Arabidopsis thaliana: one gene and its partners. The protein of the gene in region 3 interacts with the protein of the main gene of each other region in a pairwise test. Each region holds a gene or a part of one and is shown on either strand. Other genes may lie near its edges. The genes, in order: SAM-2, SAM1 and FER.

The links.
Region 1: the proteins of FER (region 3) and SAM-2 interact in a two-hybrid assay, tested with the Arabidopsis thaliana proteins (one study listed by BioGRID).
Region 2: the proteins of FER (region 3) and SAM1 interact in a two-hybrid assay, tested with the Arabidopsis thaliana proteins (one study listed by BioGRID).

The regions. Positions count from the first base shown.
Region 1 is NC_003075.7:794,293-802,023, forward strand, and holds SAM-2 (S-adenosylmethionine synthetase 2), read right to left. Parts: upstream 4,090-7,731; 5' UTR 3,907-4,089; intron 3,197-3,906; 5' UTR 3,188-3,196; coding exon 2,006-3,187; 3' UTR 1,694-2,005; downstream 1-1,693. Other genes in the region: KCO5 (Ca2+ activated outward rectifying K+ channel 5), read left to right, coding at 1-189, 494-641; AT4G01860 (Transducin family protein / WD-40 repeat family protein), read right to left, coding at 7,421-7,481, 7,577-7,730. UniProt on the Arabidopsis thaliana protein: Catalyzes the formation of S-adenosylmethionine from methionine and ATP. The reaction comprises two steps that are both catalyzed by the same enzyme: formation of S-adenosylmethionine (AdoMet) and triphosphate, and subsequent hydrolysis of the triphosphate.
Region 2 is NC_003070.9:514,661-522,391, reverse strand, and holds SAM1 (S-adenosylmethionine synthetase 1), read right to left. Parts: upstream 4,302-7,731; 5' UTR 4,014-4,301; intron 3,360-4,013; exon of another isoform or gene 3,357-3,359; 5' UTR 3,356-3,356; coding exon 2,174-3,355; 3' UTR 1,897-2,173; downstream 1-1,896. Other genes in the region: TPK4 (Outward rectifying potassium channel protein), read left to right, coding at 766-1,502, 1,588-1,705; AT1G02490 (uncharacterized protein), read right to left, coding at 5,658-5,774; AT1G02475 (Polyketide cyclase/dehydrase and lipid transport superfamily protein), read left to right, coding at 7,061-7,299, 7,401-7,500, 7,592-7,687. UniProt on the Arabidopsis thaliana protein: Catalyzes the formation of S-adenosylmethionine from methionine and ATP. The reaction comprises two steps that are both catalyzed by the same enzyme: formation of S-adenosylmethionine (AdoMet) and triphosphate, and subsequent hydrolysis of the triphosphate.
Region 3 is NC_003074.8:19,117,063-19,124,793, forward strand, and holds FER (Malectin/receptor-like protein kinase family protein), read right to left. Parts: upstream 3,888-7,731; 5' UTR 3,718-3,887; intron 3,543-3,717; 5' UTR 3,503-3,542; coding exon 815-3,502; 3' UTR 522-814; downstream 1-521. Other genes in the region: AT3G51540 (mucin-5AC-like protein), read left to right, coding at 1-148; AT3G51560 (Disease resistance protein (TIR-NBS-LRR class) family), read right to left, coding at 4,746-5,366, 5,453-6,826, 6,908-7,204, 7,293-7,731. UniProt on the Arabidopsis thaliana protein: Receptor-like protein kinase that mediates the female control of male gamete delivery during fertilization, including growth cessation of compatible pollen tubes ensuring a reproductive isolation barriers, by regulating MLO7 subcellular polarization upon pollen tube perception in the female gametophyte synergids.

The DNA of each region.
Region 1 (7,731 bases), on a different chromosome or scaffold from region 3:
GCTTCAAGGGAGGCTTTTTGCGGCGGTTTGGCTACTTGTTTCGACTCTTGCGGTGGCGCGTGCGTTTTTGTATTTGGCGGAAGCGAGAATTGATCGCCGGCATCGGAAAGCTGTTAAATTGGCGTTGAATAGAGAAATCACTGTTGATGATTTGCTCAAAGCTGATACTTATCAACATGGTTTCATCAGGTTAACATCTTTTAAAAACCTCAACTTTGTTTTTTTTTTTAGAATCTTGGATTAATTGCTTAGAGATGAGAGTGATTTGAGCTGATTCTGATAAAGGGTTTTATGCAATTTGTGTGAAGTTTAGGTCAAATAAGTTGCAGAGAGTGTTAAGCTTTAGATTAATCATGTTAATGTTAAGACTTTTTCTTGCAAGCAACAGTTTAGTTATGTCTTTGTGTAATCTAATTTCAATGATTTAAGTTTGAGTGATTAGTGTTTTGACTTTTTTTTTTATGTTTTGATTTGGTTTTGGTGTGTGTTTCAGTAAATCAGAGTATATAGTGTTGAAGCTTAAGGAAATGGGGAAGATCACTCAGAAAGACATTGACCAAGTTGTGATTCAGTTCGAGAAACTTGATCCTAATCAAATAGGAAAAATCACATTACCTGATCTTTTGGGGGATCCTTTGTGACAGAAGAACATTCTCTGTCTCTGCTTTTTTAGGTTTTCTTCTTATTCAATTATCTTCTCTTTTTTTAATTCCTTTTTAAAGAAAAATAACTGAATATATGTAGCAACAGTGATTCATACAAAGAATTATCTCTCAGTTTATAAGAGATAATATGAAAATGTATATGCTTTATTTTTGCTCTCTATAAAAAAATTATGTTCAAAGATATTCGCTAAGCGCTAATCAGATGCTCGGGCAAGGTTGTTAACAATTTTCTTTATTTTATTTTATTTTTTATTATTTTTTTAATATCAAGAGGTTTTGGGCCGAGACACGTAATCTCCAAAGTCCGTAACAATTTTCTTTATTTATCTTTCAAAATAATGAACATGTCGAGATATTTTCATGTATATCTTTTTTTATGAGATGACAATGAACAAAGAGACTGAGACATTCATTTGAGTTTGGTGAGATATATAATTAAGAAAATTAAAAATGATATGGACAAACTAATCTTTCACTTGTGAGATCAGTCAGTAGAAAGCTGACGCTTTTTGTCTCTTGATTCAGTAGAAAGGTCGATTGACTAAGTCATCAATCCTAGTCCATGCACAAATTTTTTTAGTCTAAAATGATTATTAAACCGGTAAGATTGATTATAGAATCAGATAATCAGTTTAACACAGATTGGTATTGGTTATTCTGCTTCTGCATATCAATTTATCATTAAAACAAAACAAGTTGAGAGTTGTTGAGTGATACTACTCGGATAATGACTACATATGAGAATTGAGAAGAAACTTTTTAGTGTTTTCTTTAAATGTTTTAGCTGAATACTTTAGCTTTGAAAGAAGAAGAAAAATGTAGGAATTGACTTTTTATAGTTATTTCGATCATCTCTTAAGATAATTTAAAGTTTGAATTAATATTGTTGTTTTCGGACGTATCTTATGAACCGACAACAAAGAATCTCATAAAGGCAATGTAAATGGGTTCCACTTCTATATATCCACTACCTTTGAACTGATCAAATGTATGATTATGATCTGTGTTTTTAAAATATATTTAGCAGTGTCATTTTTTGTTGAGGATGATTTGTTGTTTCGTGTTGTACTCAAAGACAATACGTGTATTTTCGTATTTCTGACAGAGATAGTTTTCAATATTCGATAGATATACACTTTATCGCATGAAGTCCCAAAATGTAGAACACAAATTTCAACTACTACAATTTATAGTGAAAGAGAAAATTGGTCTATGGTAGTTGTTTAAACAAACCAGAAACTTTCATATCAATAATACAAGAAAAAAGAAACAGAGGGATTTGATTATTGGTCCATGGTAGATGTTTAAAGTAAAAAGACAGAAGAAACATAAAATCAAGTTTAAGCTTGAGGTTTGTCCCACTTGAGTGGCTTCACGACCTCCCAGGTGAAGTCAGGGTCGTCTCTTCCGAAATGTCCATACGCTGCCGTTTTCTGAAACCTTCCATTTCCTCCTCTCTTCAAGTCCAAGTTGATTGTCATCATTCCTGGTCTGAAATCGAATGTCTCTTTCACGATCTTCAGGATCTCCTTGTCTGGAATCAACCCTGTTCCGTAAGTGTCAACGAAGACAGACAATGGCTCGGGTACTCCAATGGCGTATGAGACCTGGACAAGAGCCCTGCGAGCCATGCCATTAGCCACCACACTCTTTGCTGCTTGCCTCACGATGTAAGCTCCACTTCTGTCGACTTTGGTTGGGTCTTTGCCTGAGAAAGCACCACCTCCATGAGCTCCCCATCCTCCGTATGTGTCAATGATGATCTTACGTCCAGTTAAACCAGCATCACCGTGTGGTCCCCCGATCACAAACCGGCCTGATGGGTTGAGGTGGAAGATGGTTTTGTCGTCAAGGTATTTCTCTGGGATGATTGGTTTGATCACATGCTCCTTGAGGTCACGCGCAATCTCGTCATTGGTAACGGTTTCATCGTGCTGGGTTGAGATCAGGACGGTGTGGACACGGACTGGAACCATAGCGCCATTGTCATTGTAGTACTCAACAGTGACTTGGGTCTTGCCATCTGGTCTTAACCAACGGCAAGTTCCATTCTTCCTGACTTCAGTGAGACGAGCACCAATCTTGGTTGCAAGGACATGACTCAAAGGCATGAGCTCAGGGGTTTCATCAGTGGCATAACCAAACATGTGTCCTTGGTCACCAGCTCCAATGTCTTCTGGACGTTTGGTGAAGTGACCGTGAACACCTTGAGCAATGTCTGGGCTCTGTTGTTCAATGTTAACAAGGACTTTGCATTTGTCAGCATCAAGACCAACATCGTCAGAGATGAATCCAATGGAACGGCAAGTGTCACGGACAATCTTCTCGTAGTCAATCGTAGCCTTGGTGGTGATCTCACCGAAAACCATGACCATGTTGGTCTTGGTGCATGTCTCACAAGCAACTTTGCTATCAGGGTCTTGCTCAAGGCAGGCATCAAGGACTGCATCAGAGATCTGGTCGCAAAGCTTGTCAGGGTGTCCTTCGTTCACAGACTCAGATGTGAATAGGAAAGTCTCCATTTCTTAAAGCTATAACAACAAAAAGAAAAATTGAATCAGCAACCACATAAAAATCATACACATATAACAAACTTTTTACAATTGAAAGGAAGAGAACAAAAAAAAAAGATTCCACACTCAAGTGACATAAAAAGCTAAGAAAGATTCCAAATCATTGTGGAATAGCATAAAAACAGACGCATCTCATCCAAAGAGATTCGATTCTTCTGATATTCATAGTGGAACAGTCAGTGATAAGGATCTAATTAAACGTTTAAGGAACTTTCAAGCTTAACTAACAATTCATGGACAATAATTAACGAGGAAGGCTCATTTATGGCTCAGTACACGATCATATACTACTACTACTACATTTATCAAATCATATACTACTACTACTACATAGAGTACACGATCGATGCGAAAATCAAAATCATTTGCAAAAAAGATAAACCTATTAAGCAGATCTGCTACACAGCACTGGAAAATTAACGGATCCACATACGTTTTAAATCTGTATAAATCACAAACGATATAACCTAAGAACTTGAGAATCTCATTTCAATAGTCACACACTATCGCAGATCTAATTATAATAACAGGCGTAGAAGGTTCGAATATTATCAAATCTGAATCGAAACCCATAGAAAAATCTCATTTCGTTTCAGATTTAACAACAAAACCCGTAAAAGCATCGCCTAAAAACTCGAAATCAATAAGACGGAGAAGAAGAGCGAAACCTGCGGCGATTAGAGATCTGGGGAGCCTAAAGCCTCAAAGCAAAATCTGAACAGCGAGCGAAGAAGGAAACGAGACGGGGACGATTTGTGGATGACAAGGGAGTGAGCTATTTATAGGGATTAAATGACACTGTTGACTGTCCACCGGATCTATAGGTTTTTGCTTTTGGACTTCAATTCTTACTTCCATCGGCTTATTCGGCTACATTTATTTATTTGCTTTTTAGTGTTTTTAATGCGTTAATTATAAACACAATTGGAAAGTGAATCAAATCAATTTATTATCTCACGTCACATGAACTTAACATATTGTATTTGGTCATGGCTCTGATTTTTTTTTTACAGATTTTGATACCAAGTATACTTGTGTCGAAATATGTATTTTTGAAGGATTATTCTTTGTCACTAATCTAAATCATCTTTTTTATGATGGTCTGAAAATTAACTAATACCAATTTTTACTAGAACAATTCTTTAGAAATAGTGATACTTTTTCACAATAATATAGTAATGTCTCTCTCTATCATTTCAATTGACATTTAAGGTTTTTATATACAAGTTAAGAAAACACCAAATTTAAATTAAATTAAATTGTTTCAACCAATTATAAAATATGCTGGAAAAAAATGTTGCATTAAAAGTTGCAAACATCACTTAAACTGAAACAATTTTTTTTCTCTAAAACATTGTCTAAAATGATACAGAAAAGTAGAACCTTAAAATATTTATATGAAACAATAAAGTTGGTAAAGTATATATATATGTAGAATCTTCTTGCCTAATGATGGACATATAACTAAGATTAGAACTTATTTCATTTTCAAAAATAAAATAAAATTAGTTAGGAAAATGAATACGAGACTAATCATAAGATCATTGGAAAGAAAATAAAAGACTAGTATAATAAGGTGAGGCCAATTAAAAGGTAGAACATAAACTTTCATGACATAGTTTTGGTAGGTGAACTGTGAACATATTATCAAACATTCCTATAAATAATTATGTTTGTTGTTGAGGAAAAAATGATGACCATTGGATCTCTGATTAAACTATTTCGATAGATTTAACCTACCTCACTCAATCATATTTTCTTTTCACACTATATTTAGGGAAAAATCAATAAGTATCACGCTATATATTACCACAATAATTAACCTACCATGATTAAACTACTAACTTATCATTAAAGTTTGTAATCGAGCGAATCTCTGAATTAATTAGTGTATGTCTGACAAAAAGAAAAAATTAATGTAACAAACCGGGAGGTGCCGGTAGCTCAACAAATGGTACAGGTTTCGTGAGACTAATTCGGCTCGGCTTAATGGCTGATTCGTGTGTATTGCTGTAGTGGGGTTGGTAATGCACCTAGCCATTCTTTATTTTAGGAGAACAATGTGTTTTTGTTAAAGGCATGATAAACGTTACTAATTTGTTTTTTTTTGTAAAGAAAAATCAAATGAAGACGACATTACATTTTCTAATTTTTACTTATATCATGATTTAAAGGAAGCTTTTAGAATTGATGCTTTTTTCATAAGACTTTAGTCTCCAACAAAAATCATATTTTCCTCTGTTTTTTTTTTGTTTTTTGAATATTATGTAAAATTATTCAAAAAAAACTGGTTTACATAAAGTGCAGTTTGTGTTTGAGCAAAAGTTGAGATTATATACAAAGTCTTCCTCCGTTTTAACTTTGTAAAATACCAAATACTCCTCCATGATAATTTTAATTTCATTTGGATAACAATTTTTTTTTTTTTTGAATGCAAGTCCGTAGTTGGTTTAAAGTTAAAGATTAAGTGACTTTATCAAGAATTTATCAAAAAAATTATGTTGCTGATTAAATCGTGTACTATAATTGTTGCAAACACATTTATTTTCCTACTTAGATTTAGCGCTGGATAATCAACTATCCGACTAATTAATTATGTAAGTGAGTATGCATCTTGATAAACAGTGCTTCACAGATTTTGTGGTTTGCGAACATGAATTTTATGGAAGTTGAGCCGTTGGAAGATAAATGCTTCATTTGTTTTTATGGATAACTCACAACTTGCTTTGTGGATAATATAATTAATGAATTGATTTACCAGTCAACTTTAAGTGTTAGTGAATAATTGTTTAAGCCCAAAAATCGTCGAAAATTCTAGGTCGTGTGAGGAAACTGCGATGAGAAGGAGGTAGTTGAAAAAATTGTATTTGTATGCATGTGAAACTCATGCAAAACAAATACACGTACATATAAGTTTTGACCTGTGTTCAACTTCCATTTTTTTTTTTTTTTTACCAGTCTTGAACTATCTAATATCTATTACGAGTTTACGACATTTGTTAGTTTCATGAAATGGCGTCTCCGATCCGATAACTTTAAATAAGTAATTAAGAACGTTGAATTTCACGACTACTATTCCATATGCAAATCTTCAAGTGTCTTATATTTTGTAAATAAAATTAAGAATTTGTATAATTAGGTAGTGTTAGAATATAATAATCATCACAATTGAACCGACACCTCAATTAAGAGCGACCATATAGTATGGAAGCACGATACAGTCGACCGTTAGTGAATCTTAAAATAATATCATCAATGAGTGTTTCTTGGGTGTATAAAATTAGTGAAAAGATGTGAAGATTTTGTATCCTTAAACTAAATTCTAAAACACACAAATTTAAGAATACTTTTATTGATCAGCCAACAATTTTTTGAAGAATATGCGAAGAGTTTTTTGTTATTCCTTCTCTTGATCATGCATTTGAAATAAACATGATTTTTTTTTTATTTCTTAAAGAGAATCATAGATCTGGTCACCGACCACGTAAATGATTGATTATTAAGTGGGCAATATCTTGATTCAATTATTAGAAGTGATTCAAAACAGAGACAAGTACAAAAAAACAACAGTAAACTTTCGTCTCGTAAGAAAGTCACATAATACTGTAGTTACAATATTAATCTTATCAAAAACGTAGAATGAAATCGAATTCTCATAAACAATTATATATGTATGAAATAGTATATGATCTACTATATATATAAATCGAACTTTGACGGATGTATCACAAATTTAATGATCACATCAAATGATATCAAATCTGTAAAGAAGTTGATTACTATTAATCAGCCGAATTAGTTGATTAGAATTAAATAAGGTCATGTGAAGTGTTGATATTTCTCTCATAAAGGTCCCACATTGGCACAATTCCATAACCAAAATCTTGAGCAATAATAACGTTACTATCAAATTGGGTTCAGAAACATGATACATACCAGAATTTAGCAGAGCACCGACTTCGGCCAAAAACAAAAAAAGTAGAGCACCGACAAAAGCTCAGTTCTCAGATCAAACTGAACCAAGAATCAAAAACGGTTTACTCTGACCGAGTACTCAAAATTGGTTTGGTAAAAATTACAGGTCTCACTGTTGTAAATAAATACTAGCAGAGCCAGAGGGTAGCTTAGGACAAATTACCTCAAAAACTGGAATCAAAAACAGGGTTCTGAACCAAGCTTTTGTTAACCGGAGAATTCAACCATTTGGATCCCGCGTCCCGCAACAGCTATTTGGTATCGGTTTCTGCAGATAGATCAAGTATACAGATTTGGTATGTGAGATATAAAAGTTTTGTTTTTGTTTTATGGACCATGGAAGTATGAGTGCATATTACTTACTCATCAATGGCTTTAGCATCTAGTGCCTCTGGCTCGGGCACGCTGATGACTATATGAGCGTGCTCGATCAGTTTACCATCTTTTTCGAGAAACCAACATCGAACACGTTGATCAAGACCTGTCGAGAACACCCAGTTCGTGTCCATCCACACGCC
Region 2 (7,731 bases), on a different chromosome or scaffold from region 3:
ACTCCTTATAAGACAAGAACAAATAAACTTGTCAACTAATTATAATTTGGCATGTTTACATGCAATTGTAAGTACTATAGATAGTAAGAAAAGAAAACAACTAATGAGATTAATTATAGTGATAATCGGAAAAAAATGTTAACATACTTTTTCGATAAATCTCCAAGTTTTGAAAACAACTCGAACAAAAAAAAAAAGCGTCACTGCTTGCGTCATCAACAAAACACATCACACATGACTGACTTAATTACATGAGAATATTTTTACCACTTTGAAATAAGAACAAATAATTAGTAATTTAAAGTAGTATATCCGTTGTAGTAGTAGTAGTCATGGGGGCCACTTACCTTCTTGCGATTCCCAATTCCCCGCGAGATCTTATTGTGTACGGAAGATGATACCATTTCCATTAACTCTGTTTCATCTTAAAACGCAAAACGTAGCGTTTTACGCACAACTTTTATGTAGTCATGATCCCTATGGACCTTAATCCAATACAAAGCTCTGACTTGGATTTCGATATTTAAAGATAATTGTTTGGGCCTTTGATGGGCCTCATTAATCAGATGTTTTACTTCCCTGATCTGTGGATAAATTTCTTAACCAAACAAAACTCAAAACCCGGAAGATAGATAGAGAAGCAACGTAAAGATCATGAACATCAAAATTCTCAGTCGTCAAAAAACCAAAAAACCTTTTCTTTCAAATTTGATAATCTCTTCAGAAGCTACCAAGAAGAAGAAGAGAAAGAAGAGCGTTTTCTAAATGGAAGAAGAGAACCTTCTCAATGAGAACCTTCTCCATCCCAACGAGTCCTCACCGGAAGAAACTCAAGTCACCACCGTATCAAAATCGAAATGGACCATTCTTGTACTAGCCATGATCCTCCTCTTGGTCTACTTAACCTTCGGGGTTTGCACATACTCATTCTTTCGAGACCAATTCTCCGGAACCGAGACCAATCTTTTCGTCGACGCTTTCTATTTCTCCATCGTCACATTCTCTACAGTCGGTTACGGGGACATTGTCCCGTCAACTTCAACGACCAAGATCTTGACCATCGTCTTGGTATCAACCGGCGTCGTATTTCTTGATTATCTACTCAACCGCGTCGTGAGTCACGTTCTAAGTCTTCAAGAAAACGCGATTCTTGATCGAATCAACAAGACAAGAAACAGAGCGATTAGAGATCACATTGCCGAAGATGGCAAGATAAGGTTAAAGTGGAAACTTTGTTTAGCGTTTTGCGCCGTTGGTCTCTGCGTCGGAAGTGGAGCTTTGTTTCTTCACGTTTTCGAGAGATTGGATTGGTTGGATTCGGTTTACTTGTCGGTTATCTCCGTTACGACGGTTGGTTACGGAGATAAAACGTTTAAGACGGTTGAAGGGAGAGGCTTCGCAGTGTTTTGGCTTCTTCTTTCAACTATTGCAATGGCTACTCTGTTTCTTTACTTGGCTGAGATGAGAATCGATCGTACTACTGTCATGAAATTGCCCCCGAGGTAAACATTTGCAACTCTGTTTCTTTCATTCGAAATTCTGTTTTTGGTTACTGATTGATTTTTCTTGTTGTTGGTTTGTGATTAGTGAATCAGAGTTTATTGTGTTCAAGCTTAGAGAAAGTGGGAGGATTAGTGAGGATGATATAAAGCAGATCGTAAGAGAGTTCGAGAATCTTGAAGAAGTGCCATCAAGCGGATCATGACAATTTGCCAAAGATCACATTGCCCTAACTCTTGTCTGGTACTAGATATGAAATTGCAGAGATGCACATGGTTAGTTTTTCTTTTTGAATTTTAGTATAAAATGTATAGAAGAATCACAAAAATGATGATGACGATGCTACTCTGTTTTGACCTTGGGACTTGAAAAGGAAGAAAATACTCTGTTACTGCAGTCCAAATGTTTTTTTTGTATATGTGTACATCTTTTGGCAGTAGGTTTAACTATTTCATGACACTTTAGTTTATATTAATTTTTCATGGTTATAATTATATAAGAACAACATGAAACTTACTCCAAGCCGTGTAAAAGTCGCCATAAAAACAAACACCCAATTGAAATAGCTCAAGTACAATGATACATAAACACAATAAACCACAAAAACAGAGAAATAAAAAAGTGAGCAGATAATTGGTTTGTGGAATGAAGACAGAAACAGAGTAGGTAAAATTTAAGCTTGAGGTTTGTCCCACTTGAGTGGCTTGACGACTTCCCAGGTGAAGTCAGGGTCGTCTCTTCCAAAGTGTCCGTAAGCCGCAGTTTTCAAGAACCTTCCGTTTCCTCCTCTCTTTAGGTCAAGGTTAATTGTCATCATTCCTGGTCTGAAGTCGAAGCTCTCCTTCACAATCTTTAGTATCTCCTTGTCTGGAATCAATCCAGTCTCATAAGTGTCCACAAAGACAGACAATGGCTCAGGGACTCCAATGGCGTATGAGACCTGAACAAGAGCCCTACGAGCCATCCCGTTAGCCACAACGCTCTTAGCTGCTTGTCTCACAATGTAGGCTCCGCTTCTGTCGACCTTGGTTGGGTCTTTACCTGAGAATGCACCGCCTCCGTGAGCTCCCCATCCACCGTAAGTGTCGATGATGATCTTACGCCCGGTGAGACCAGCGTCTCCATGGGGTCCACCGATGACGAATCGGCCTGAAGGGTTCAAGTGGAAGATGGTTTTCTCGTCTAGGTACTTCTCTGGGATGACTGGCTTGATGACATGCTCCTTAAGGTCACGGGCAATTTCGTCGTTGGTCACAGTTTCATCGTGTTGGGTGGAGATGAGGACTGTGTGGACACGGATTGGGACCATGGCACCCTTGTCATTGTAGTACTCAACAGTGACTTGGGTTTTGCCGTCAGGTCTTAGCCAGGCGCAAGTACCATTCTTTCTGACTTCTGTTAGGCGAGCACCGAGCTTGGTGGCAAGAACATGGCTCAGGGGCATTAACTCAGGGGTTTCATCAGTGGCATAACCAAACATGTGCCCTTGGTCACCGGCTCCAATTTCTTCAGGACATTTGGTGAAGTGACCGTGAACTCCTTGAGCAATGTCTGGGCTCTGTTGCTCAATGTTGACTAGGACTTTGCATTTGTCAGCATCAAGACCAACATCATCAGAGACAAATCCAATGGCGCGACAGGTGTCACGGACAATCTTCTCGTAGTCAACAGTAGCCTTGGTAGTGATCTCACCAAAGACCATGACCATGTTGGTCTTGGTGCATGTCTCACAAGCAACTTTGCTGTCAGGGTCTTGTTCAAGGCAGGCATCGAGGACTGCATCAGAGATCTGGTCACAGAGCTTGTCTGGGTGTCCCTCGTTTACAGACTCAGATGTGAATAGAAAAGTCTCCATTCTGCTACAAAGAATAGAACAAAAAAAAAATGACTTAGCCACTGTAGAATCATAAAAGAAGCATCATGCTATCTTAAAAGAATAGTTTCACCATATCCTGTAAGCTTTTCTTAGATTCTCAATTCTAAAGAATGTGACATAAACCAAACAAAGAATCGAATTTCAGAAGAATCATTAAGCTCAAGTGACAAAAAAGCTAAAATGATTCGAAAATCATAAGTGATATCTTTTCAGCAAAACAAGTTGACTCTTATGCTTAGTGACTCGCTTCGTATGTTACTTATTGTCTATGCACATTTAACTAACAGGTTAAATCATATCAAGCTACAATCACACATACACACATGAACGAATTCAAAATCTCAAAAATCTTGCATACTATTCAAATCATGCCAACGCAACATAAACTCTACTCAAATCCCACACATCTGAGAATATTTTTGAGAATCTATAACGAAATCGCTGCTGATCCAATAACAAAATGGTTAAAGAGTAGCTGAAATCTAATTAAAAACCATAGATACAGTCAATAGTCCCTTAAATCTACTTCCATCGTCAAATCGGAAAAAATACGCACGTCAGACTTGAAAATCAACTGGAAAACAAAAATGAACAATACATCGAGAGAGAAACGAGAAGCGAATACGAAGAACAATACCTGCTTCGATGGGAGATTATGAGATTCGGCGATCAGATCTCGAAGAAGAGAAACTCAGATCTCTGTGGCTCGAGCCTTTTTGCCTTAAAAGAACAAGTGTTAAAAGAGAAGGAACGGTTTGAGACGAGAAAGTGAGTCAGAACACGTTGGTTATTTATAGGCCTTTTACGGTTCACTAATGACTGGTCACCGGTTTATTTGGTTAAACCACCCTACTTTGGACTTGTAAAGAAATATATATGTATTTGGCTTTGGAGTTGGCCTACCAATATTTACTATTTTTTGGCATTATTTTCAAAATTTTCTGACTATTGGGGACCGATTGGTCCGACTTGTTATATAACGTGAACCAATCGGATTTTTCATTTCAAAGAAAATAATTGTGTCTGTAAGACTGTAATTTAGGAAAAAAGGACTATAAAAATTCAAATAAATACCATATGAAATTGTTGGACCGGGTTACACATCAAAAATTATATCAAACAATAGTCTTTTTTAGTTTCGTTTGGTTTGATACAAGTGAGATAAGGAAAACGTTTTCAATGCAACTAAGAAACAAAGAATAGAATAGTTTAATTACTACAAAGGCATTACTCATTACTCACTCGCACACATGAAAATACACACTTTCATGCTCTGCAAGAGGTTTGTGGTAGGTGAAGATTTTAGACTTTTAATTGTGGTTGTTGGTGATGACCAAACAAAAAAAATTGTGGGTATTGGTGAGACTTAATGGTGACCGTTGGATTATTTTGTTTAACGGCTGATTAATGAATGATATAGAGCTTTGGGGGGTTTGGTGAAGGATTTTGACATACATCATTTGATCTACCGTATCTTAACTTTATTCTTTAAAATGGATTAAAATCTCTAAACATCCTTAATATTCTTCATTTTATTATTTGTGTGTGTGTGTGTAATTCTTCATAATTTTATATATGACTAGAGTTACCATTTGTCATCAATACTTTATTGTTTTACTTTTACATGAAACAGATATATAAAAGCTGTTAATGAAACAAACAATATAAGATCCTTCAAAAACAAAAGAAACAAAAAGTGCAAACATCTTAGAAGGTGTTTGTAGCCACTCCTCTTTTGGTAGTGGGTGACTGGGTGGCGAGGTGGGTAGTGTATTTCTAACTCGCTCATAATATATCTTCATAAGTTACGCAGTAAGTAAATTTTTTATTTATTTACTTTTTGTGATTTCTAATGAAAAGTAAAGCTGATTAGTGATTGAGAAAAAAGAGTTTTCTTTGTTAAGTTTATAAAGAAAATTCGATGGTGTGCAAAACCCATGCGCAATTGCTCATCCTCATTGACTATTGTTGTCGGATATTTTTGTAAGTAAATAAACTTGTGTTTCTAAAAGTCAATTTTTCCATAAAGGATTATCTTTCAAAAAGTCTGTCTCAGAAATAAAATGATACATAGCCAATAAGGCCCATTTCAGCCAAGTGGCCCAATACATTAAAAAGAACCATTTTCTAATCAGTTAAAAATAGCCCATTAAGATTCCATCACTACCACCTTCCCTCAGAGCCATGGAGTTGTAGATTATGTAGTGGTCAGAATCAAGATTGAGGATGAATGACATGATTGCTCTGGCCCTAACCAAAGCAATTGATTGCTCCAACATTCTCATAACCAGGCCGCTTCTATCTCCCACACGCAGACTAGGATTGGTTGCCTGATGTCAATGTCTGTTAGATCATCAATTACTGCTGCCTCTGTTCCAGTTAACATCATCATCTCCATTTATAAACAGCTTGGTTCAGAACCATCATCTTCATCTCTTCTTTCGTTCTCCACAAACATATGACTGATTTGTTTGTAACAGAGAGGTGTATAATAAATAGATCGTCCCGGTCCCGCATAATCTTACAAACTTACCGTTTAGAATTGATTATCACCGTCCGATATCTCACAGTTGCAACCTGATGAAACTAAACGGTCCAGATCTCTCGAACGTTGTCAGATTTTCTTATTTTTTGTCAACCCTAACAAGAAAAGGAAACAATCGAAAGTTTCCTTTTTTTTTTTGAAGAAGCGAATGCTTATAAATGAAGACCTCCAAACATCACTCATTCTCTCTTCTTCCTTGAGAAATTTAAATCCATTATCATTCTCTCTTCTTCTTCGATACCATAACAAAATAATTCTTCATCTTTCATTATCTCGTTTTGTCTAAACAGAACGATCGTTTTAGACCGGATGCTCTCGTCTTCTCAGCAAACAAACAATCATCGTAGGATTGATCTCCATCCTCTGTTGTGACTCATCTTCACTTAAATCCAAACGATTTCAAATCCGGTCAACGACGGACAACCGAAAAAATAATTGAATTTTTGGCCACACTTAGTTGAAGTGTTAAATATTTACCACTTGTTTTTTTTAAAACCAAAATGTCAAACCGAACTGAACATCTCGTCCTTTTGGTCTGTAGTTTTGTAGTGATATCATAAAGTTTTGACATATATTAGATTAAAAACTTGGCTAAATTTTATTTTATTTTCACAAATATTATTTTAAGGATTCGAATTGCGCATTGACACGTTCTTGGTCACTTATTTGTTTCAAAGAATTTGATGATATTATCAACCTTAATAATATTCTGTAAATCTGTTATTCTTAACTTAGTCACTTCGTAAAAGTCTACTGCATTATCATTTCATAATTTAGTTGTTGTGGCAGATCTTTCGTTCATACGGGCCAAACGCGCTCGGTAGAACACACTAAATGGACACATATTTAAAAGAGAATAAAGATCCAATGGGCTTTGAATAAAACATAAACAATATTAAAAAAATGCGGTGAGCGTGGATCGAACACGCGACCTTCAGATCTTCAGTCTGACGCTCTCCCAACTGAGCTATCCCCGCTTTTGCTTTGGTTTCATTAATCACTTTATTCAAACCCTAAATTCATGATTATCTTCTAATTTTATACGGACAAATCAGTAACACTCAGCAATTTGAGTTCTTGTGGTTGCTAAAGTTTTTAGTCTTATCTTTCCTTCCAAAGACAAAACTAAGGAAGCTTCAATGTCTGTAGTAGCAATTAACATGAACACGATCAATCACTTGTCCAAAACCTGTAAAACCCCAAATATCCAATCACCGATTTGCTTCGATCGCAAACCCTTTTCATATTCTCTCATTCCTCTGTTTCCAAAAACCCTAAATGGCTTCTCCTCTTACTCTTCTTCCGTTAGTCGCAGATCGAGATTCATCATTCCCAAGAGACGACGATTCTCTGTTTCCATGGAGTGGCAAGACTGCTCGTAAAAATCTCTCCTTTATCCTCTTCTCTGCTTCGATTCCACTTTATTTGTAGAAATTGATATGATTCTGTTTTCAATCTTTGTTGGTTTGGAGAAAACAGAGTAAAGATGGAGGTCGATGTTCCAGTATCAGTAGCGTATAATTTCTACTTGGATCGTGAATCTTTTCCTAAATGGATGCCTTTTATTTCATCTGTCCAGGTGGATTTGATTTTTTGATCTATCTCTCAAAGTTTCAATCTTTGAAAGCTTCTTGCTTTAGATTTTAACTCGGTTTGTGTTCTGTTGTTAGGTGTTAAAGGACAAGCCTGATCTATCACGTTGGTCACTCAAATACAATGCTTTTGGTCAAGACATTAAGTATTCTTGGCTTGCTCGTAATCTTCAGGCAAGAATCCATCATTCTGTTTTAGATCAATGCTCCTCTGTGGT
Region 3 (7,731 bases):
GAACGATAGTGCTCGTTACGACGCACTCTTGAATGTTAAAGATGTCAAGGATACAAACTGGCTACTTAACATTGATGATGAATCTCCTCAATCTCTCATCTTCGACAATGCTTTTGACTCTCCTCCTGATCTATTCTCTCCTCTCTGAGACTCTGACTCCTTTTGAGTTTTCTTTCCTGTTTGTTGTAGTTAAAAACAAGAGAGCTGCTTGGAAAAATAATCCTGTTTCACTCTTTTTAAATTCTTATGCAATCAAGAGAAAAACATTACACATAGTTCTTCTACTCGTTGTTTTTTTCTTTCAAAGTGTTTGTTTGTATTGATCAGCAGAAATATACAACTTTGACCCTTCTTGTTTAAATCAAAATATTTGCAAGAAAAGACACTATTGGTAGGATTCCGTTAAAATGCGTCTATATAGTAAAACAGAGAAGTGATTGATGTACTTCCGTTTATGTTCATAAGAGTACGACTTTGTAATAAATGGGTACTAGTTTGTTCATAAGAGTACGACGTGTAATAGAGTAAAGATGCAACAATTACCAAAAACGTTATAGATAACAAACCAAATAGTACATTGACGCGATTCATGTTTAATGTTTTTGTAGAAAGAAGAAAAAAAAATACATTATTTTTTACACTCTCCATCGTGGCATCAAATACACAAATCCAAAATTCTAAATAAATAACAGCAAAGAGAATAATAATAAATAGTTAAGAGGAAAAAAAATATAAAAAAGAGAAACGAACCGGTCTCCTTTGGATGGAGCCGGTTTAGAAAGGTAGTAGTGTTGTACCGTGTTATAAGACTTCTCTAACGTCCCTTTGGATTCATGATCTGAGAAAACACAGCACTTGGAGTGAGTCCATCTGAATCTTCGCTGGCCAAACTCCTACCACCGATGCTCATATCTATTCCACTGCTCCTCGAGTCCGTCACATTCCCTTCATACACATCAGAACTCTTGTCGTTCTTTCCTTTACAGTTTCCATCATCGTACTTAATCTCATCCATGTCCATGTCACCGCATACTCCTTTTCCGTTCTCTTCTGCGCTTTCCTGGAGCTGCAACGCAAATTCTAAGTTCCACAGAACATCTCCCATTGATGGTCTCTCAATGCCCTGGTCTAGAACACACTTCATCGCGGTTTCAGCAAACTTTTTGAAGCATTCTGGTGTGATCTTGCCCTTGAGGTAGGGATCAACGATTTGATCTAGCATGCCTTTCTTGTAGCAGTATGGTGCCCACTCAGCTAAGCTCACTTGTTCCTTTGCAAGTGTTGGGTTCAAGGCTGGACGAGCGCATAGAGCTTCGAATAGAACAACGCCAAAGGAGTAGACATCGGATTTCTCAGTCAGTTGCTGCCGTCTGAAATACTCTGGGTCAAGATAACCGAAACTTCCTTTCACAACTGTGCTTACGTGTGTGTGGTCTAGTGTAGGACCAGTCTTCGATAGACCAAAATCAGAGACCTTGGCCACCCATTTCTCATCCAATAGAATGTTTGTTGTCTTCACATCTCTATGGATGATTGTGTGTTTTGCACCAGTGTGTAGATAGTGTAAACCTCGGGCTGCTCCAATGCATATCTCAAGACGTTGCTTCCATGGAAGAGAAGGATTCTGGGTTTTGTAGAGATGCTCCCTCATTGTACCATGAGCCATGTAATCATAGACTAAGATCATTTCGCAGTTCTCTTCACAGTATCCAATCAAGGACACAAGATGACGATGTCTAAGCTTTGAAAGCATTTCAATCTCAGTCTGGAACTCATGTACACCTTGCTCGGACATTGGGTTGCCTCTCTTGATGGCTACCTTTGTAGTTCCGCCATCAATCTCTCCTCTGTAAACCTTGCCGAAACCACCAACACCAAGCACCCGGGACTCATCAAAGTTTTTAGTGGCAGCTTTGATCTCAGCAAACGAGAAGTGACGGCAAAGATTTGACGGAAGGGACGAGGCATAACTTCCTGTTGTGTTTGTCTTCGCCGAGCCAGCAGAATGTGAGTTTCCATACAGAGATAGTGGAAGCCACCCTGATGTTGCATCACTAGCAGGCTGGTAATCACCACGCTTACGTCTGCGGTAAGCACCAAACACACAAAACCCAATGATAAGGGCCAGAACAACTGCACCACTGGCTGCGCCTGCAATAATAGCCGTATTGCTTTTCGATTTCCTAGTAGTCGGGCGTAGGACTTTAGATGGATCAGCAGTCACCTGTGGACCAGGTATAGGATTGGTACCAGCCAGATTACCATCAGAAGTATTCATCTTGAATATCTCCACTCCATTAAGAAGAGAATCATAATACTCCGGCTTGTTAACTGGGTTAGGATGAAGAGCAAGCCACAAATCTTGCTGTCCATTTCCCTCTGGAGGATTCACCACGTAATCCTTGTGAAACGGAACCCCGTTTGAACTAGTCCAAGCAATCACATCAGCTTCAGGCTCAGCAGTTTGATTGTTGAGGTAGATTGTAAACACCCGTTGGTTGATCTTAGTGATATTCGAAGAAACCTCACAGAAATGAAGTCTAACAAGGTAAGTGAAACCAGAGTCAATGCTGAAAATCCAAGTAAGATTGTAGTTGAGATTGATCTGAGCTGTTGGACCCATAGACCTCGCGGTTGAATAAACATCCACAGGAGCAACATAAGTAGGAGTCCCCGTAGGATACTTAATCGTCATGTTGGGATCAGCAGTCTCTGGAATACCAAGTCCTGCACCAAATATATAAGGCTGATCATCATACCACGACCTATACAAACCCGTATCCGCGGAAGGCGAGATATCATTCCCTCCAACATTGAGCCTATACACATTCTCAAGAGCAGTACTGTTATCAATAGTAACAGAGCCAGATGATCCAACCATAGTCAAAGTCCCATCAGTACTACTATACATATCAGGCATTGAAGTAACCTCAATCCCATTAACAAACGCATACGCATTAGACGGAGCTGATTCCGGTGTAAACGTCATGTTCAACGTTCCACCTTCAACGTTGACAACAAACTCCTTGATGATGAAAGCGTAAGTCAACGCCTCCGCCGTCTGAGAAGCACTGAAATTCTTGAGAAGAGTGTAAGGACCAAAGGAGACGGAGAATAACGAGTTGGTAGCGTTGAGACCGTCGTACGAGTTTGGGTAGAAGTAGAGACGCACGAATTTACGACCTGATGCTACAGGGAAAGTGTAAGTGAAAGGAGATCGGAAAACTCTCGCCGTCATGTAAGGAACTTCGGGAACGGAAGGATCTTGTGTTAACGCTGGTGATGTTTTAGAGTCTTCAGAGGAAGATGATAAGAATTTTGATTTGACATCGGAGATCCATATACGGTTATCTGTGTCGGTTAGATTAGAAGCACCACCACCGCAATTCAATAGGATTTTCTCTGTTGGAGAGTAATCAGCAGCTGAGATTAAAGTTGCTGCAGATATGAGAAGAAGAAGAAGAAGAAGAGAGAGACGGAATCGTCCCTCTGTGATCTTCATCGATCAAGAGCACTTCTCCGGGAAGATCTTCTTCTCAGATCTATCAAACGAAAGAAAATCGAAACTATAAACTTCACAGATCTAAAAATGGAAAGTGCTAGAGGTACATGTTCGTTTGGTTACGAAAATTGAGCTTAAGAAACAGATGAAATTGAAGTTTGAATACAGTAGTAAGGGAGAGTGAAGTGAGGAAGATGATGATGATGATTACATACCTGAAGAATCGGGGAAGAAACCCTAAGCGATGAAATCGGAGAGAGTTTTTGGAGAAGACAGAGATATTTTGGGGGAGAGAGAGAGAAAATCAATTAATGAGTGGAGAGGTAAGTATAGTCAAGACGACGACAAAACGGACAAGCATTGTTGCTTCCCTCTACGCGTTAACGTTATTTTAATTTCAATAAGATTAAATTAAGATATAGTTATCGGGTTTAATTAATTGAAGCCGGCTTGAAGGTGGGTGAAGTGACGATAATGACCTTTGAGTATCAACAGCTGGAATTATATATGTCTTGACCATTCGAAGGATAATGTTGATTGGTATGGTTTGGATGACAGTTCATAAAATGTGAGAGAGTAAATCCATTAAACTAAAGAAAAGACAAGAGAATTTTATGAAACGCGTATTTTTGTGTGCGGTGGTGACTGCTCGTGGCTGAGCTGGTACTCTATATTATACTATAAAGGGAAAGAATGGGGCCTGCTTTGATAATAACTCGTTAGTTAGTTAGGATAGTTTACGTAATCATGGGCTTTTTACTCTGATTTCAGTTTATCTCCTATGGCCCAGTTATAAGTGGGCCTTATCTAACGTGCACATGATATATGTTTATGACAATCGGCGTAGCCTCCTTTTGATCGATCATGTCTAAGGTAAGGAGTAACCTTGATCTCCGATGTCAAATCCAAGTAACCTTGAATACAAATAAACCGTGGTTAAGGCCGAACGTGTGCAATTTTTTTGGTCTACACCTTCTTGATTCAAAACAGAGTTTGTGATCCTTGTTTTCTCAGTCTTTCAAAATAAAATAAAACTTTAAACCATTACATCAAACATGCACTAAATATTTACATTAACATATCATTAATTCTCTTTCAGACAACACATTTTTTTTTGTTTATGCCAATTTTAAATAATAAAAATTACATTTCAAACATACATGTTTCTGCTACTTCGCATTTGGGCACGCATGAGACGAGTCACATACATACACTCTTCCCAGTTCCCACTCTTAACTTTTCTTCACTCTAGGCAAACACAACCACCAAACCTACCAACTCGCTTAAATCGAAGCTTACCAATCACACTTGAAAGCTTCGGAGAATGATTCTTACTTAAACTCATATCCTTACTTGCATTTGTTACACTCAGACTCGCCGCACCAGTTGCAGCTGTTATAACACAAACATCACATTCTGTCACCATGCAATTACCGCCTAAGACCTTGTTTCTTCCATTTACTGCTTGGAATTCAAATTCAACGTGATCAGCCATTATATTTGGTTTGTTTCCCTCACCACCACCTCGATGCATTTCGGCATCCTCATAAAACACAAACATGTGATCCCTTTGAACCTCAGGAGCTTCTCTCGGAGCCCAACACCTAAACACTTTCTCTGCTTTACCAGTGACCACCCTTTTCTTTGTCTTCCATCTGCTTACGCACCTAACGCCAAGCCCAGCGTTGTTGTGACTATCATCCGAAAACGATACTACAACGAAGATAGCAAACCCCAAGAGTGTCTTTCGCAGGGAAGGAGTTATCTCTATCGTTGCAAATGAACCTGCCCGCAAATTATAAGAGGTTGCCTGATCTGCTCCTGCAGGCCCGCAAATGCTGAATGCAAGTGCTTTGATGAGTTCCTGGTCCCAACAAGAAAAAGGAAAATTACATATACGCTAAAGTATGTATGAGTGAGAAAGAAGGGACATGAGAACGAGAGAGTTACCTGCTGATGTTCGTTGCCAATGCTTGCTACTTTAGCCAGGCCTTTTACAACTCGTTTTCTAGCCACTTTTGGAGACTTATTGAAGCAATCGCTGAAGGTGTAATGACTAGGAAACTGCTCAAATCCCCAAGAAACTGACTCTAGAGACACACAACCATGCACGTTCAACAGTTTCAGGCTTTGGGGAAGCGCCGGAAGCAATATGAGGTTTCTACAATGTCTTAATCTAAGGCTATGTAGTTTAGATAACTGCTTTATGCTTTCAGGGATTTTGCTGAAACCATTCCGACCAAGATCCAACAGCACTACTGAAGGCAAGGAACAAATCTCTTCCGGTATATGCATCAAGGATGCATTGAAGAGGGATAAAGATACTAGGGCATAAAATCTTGGGACCAAGCCATGTAAACTTGAAGATGGCAGCCTTGGTCGAGGCAAATATTCTCTACGCTGCTCTGCATTCTCATTGAAAGTCAAGAGAAGATAATTCAAATTACTGATGCCAATTTCTGATATACCATTCTGGATAATTGATGTTGATACTTCTCTTATGGACATCCCAGATGGATCCGTTAGCTTAAGTGTGACAAGAGATTTTAAGTTACTAATCTCCATTGGAAGATGTTGAAGCCTTTTGCAATTCTGTAAATCTAAAACTACAAGTTCTGAGAGATGCTTGATTAACGATGTCACTTCCTGTATAGCGGTGCCAGCAAGATATAACTCTTCCAAGTTTCTTGGGATACCTTGAATATCCTCAAGTTCTGAGCATCCAGAGAGATTTAACACCGCAAGAGAACTCAAGTTACCTATTCCCATTGGTAACTTGTGAAGGCGTTTGCAGTTCTCCAAATCTAATACAACCAGTTCAGAAAGATGCATGAGCGAAGGCAGTTCTTTTATGGCTGTACCACCAAGATATAACTTTCTTAGGTTTTTTGGTATACCCTGAATATCCTCAAGCTCTAAGCATTGAGAAAGATCAAGAACTTTGAGGTTGTCTAGATAAACCATGATTGACAGACTTTGCGAATCAGACGAGACCTCCCGATTCAAGAATTTGTGATCTTTATGATCATAAATAAATGAGTTATCTTGTGGAGAGAAGGTCACAGTTGGTATTGATCTTATGCCAGTTTGTTTGAGATACAGCTCCTCAATATTAGGTGGAACCTCTGGGAAACTTTTGATCTTTATGCAACCAGAGAGATTTATCACCCGAAGATGCTGGAAATGACCTGTTGCTAGAAATCTTTGTAGTCTTGCACAACCTTGGAGATCAATTACCTCCATATTTAGAGCAATTTGGAGTTCTTGAATACCAACTAGCTGTTGTGAATGACAAAGCATGATCCTCTTCAGCATCCCAAGTTCCTGGAAAAACAAATTGTTAAAAAAATAACAACAGAGACGCAAAATAGTAATTGGTTTTCAAATGCATATAGACTTTCTTACCTTGGTTCCTTCCCAAAGTCTCTGAAGTTTACTGTAACACATGTTGAGTATAACAAGATTTCTAGTGTTAAAATCTTGTGGTAAGGATAACAATGGAAAATGTTCCCAGTGCAGTAACCTTAACTCCTCCGGTAGGGATTTGACGCCCTTGGGAAGGTGTAGAGCATAATGGTTTCCAGGATTGGAACTGCAAATCTTCAGATATCTAAGATTATACATATTCTCAAACGCCATAGGATTGACATCAAAGCTTAAGGCAGATGGGTCCAGAAATATGGCTTCAATATCTTCACTACCCTGAAACAACAAGGGAAATAGATGGATCAAGAACTTGGCTCAAATTCCAATATTGAGCTTTGTGGGAAAATAACAGAATTCAACATACCAAAACTTGTCTATCTTCTAGAAAATACTTAATTATCAAAGGTTTCCACAGTCTGGAACGCCTCTTTCCTCCATTGATAATTTTGCGACCTATGGATTGGATCAAATTATGCATCACAACCCTGCCTTCTGCCATACTCACCAAACACTTCTCAACAAGAACATTGATTTCAACACGTGGAAAGAAACCACATCCCTCAAGCAGATGTATTACACAGTCGACATTTTCTCCTCTGAAAAGACACGCAATATCAAGAAATATGTTCTTCTCGTTGGAACTAAGCGAATCATATGTACTCTTGACTGCATCATGAATCTCATGTGCCAGATATTTCTTGACTTTGGGGAATGCAATCTCTATAGGTTTAGGATTCTTCCTTGACATACATCCAAAAAAAATCAGAGCTAAAGGATTTCCATTAGCATAATCAATCACTTTC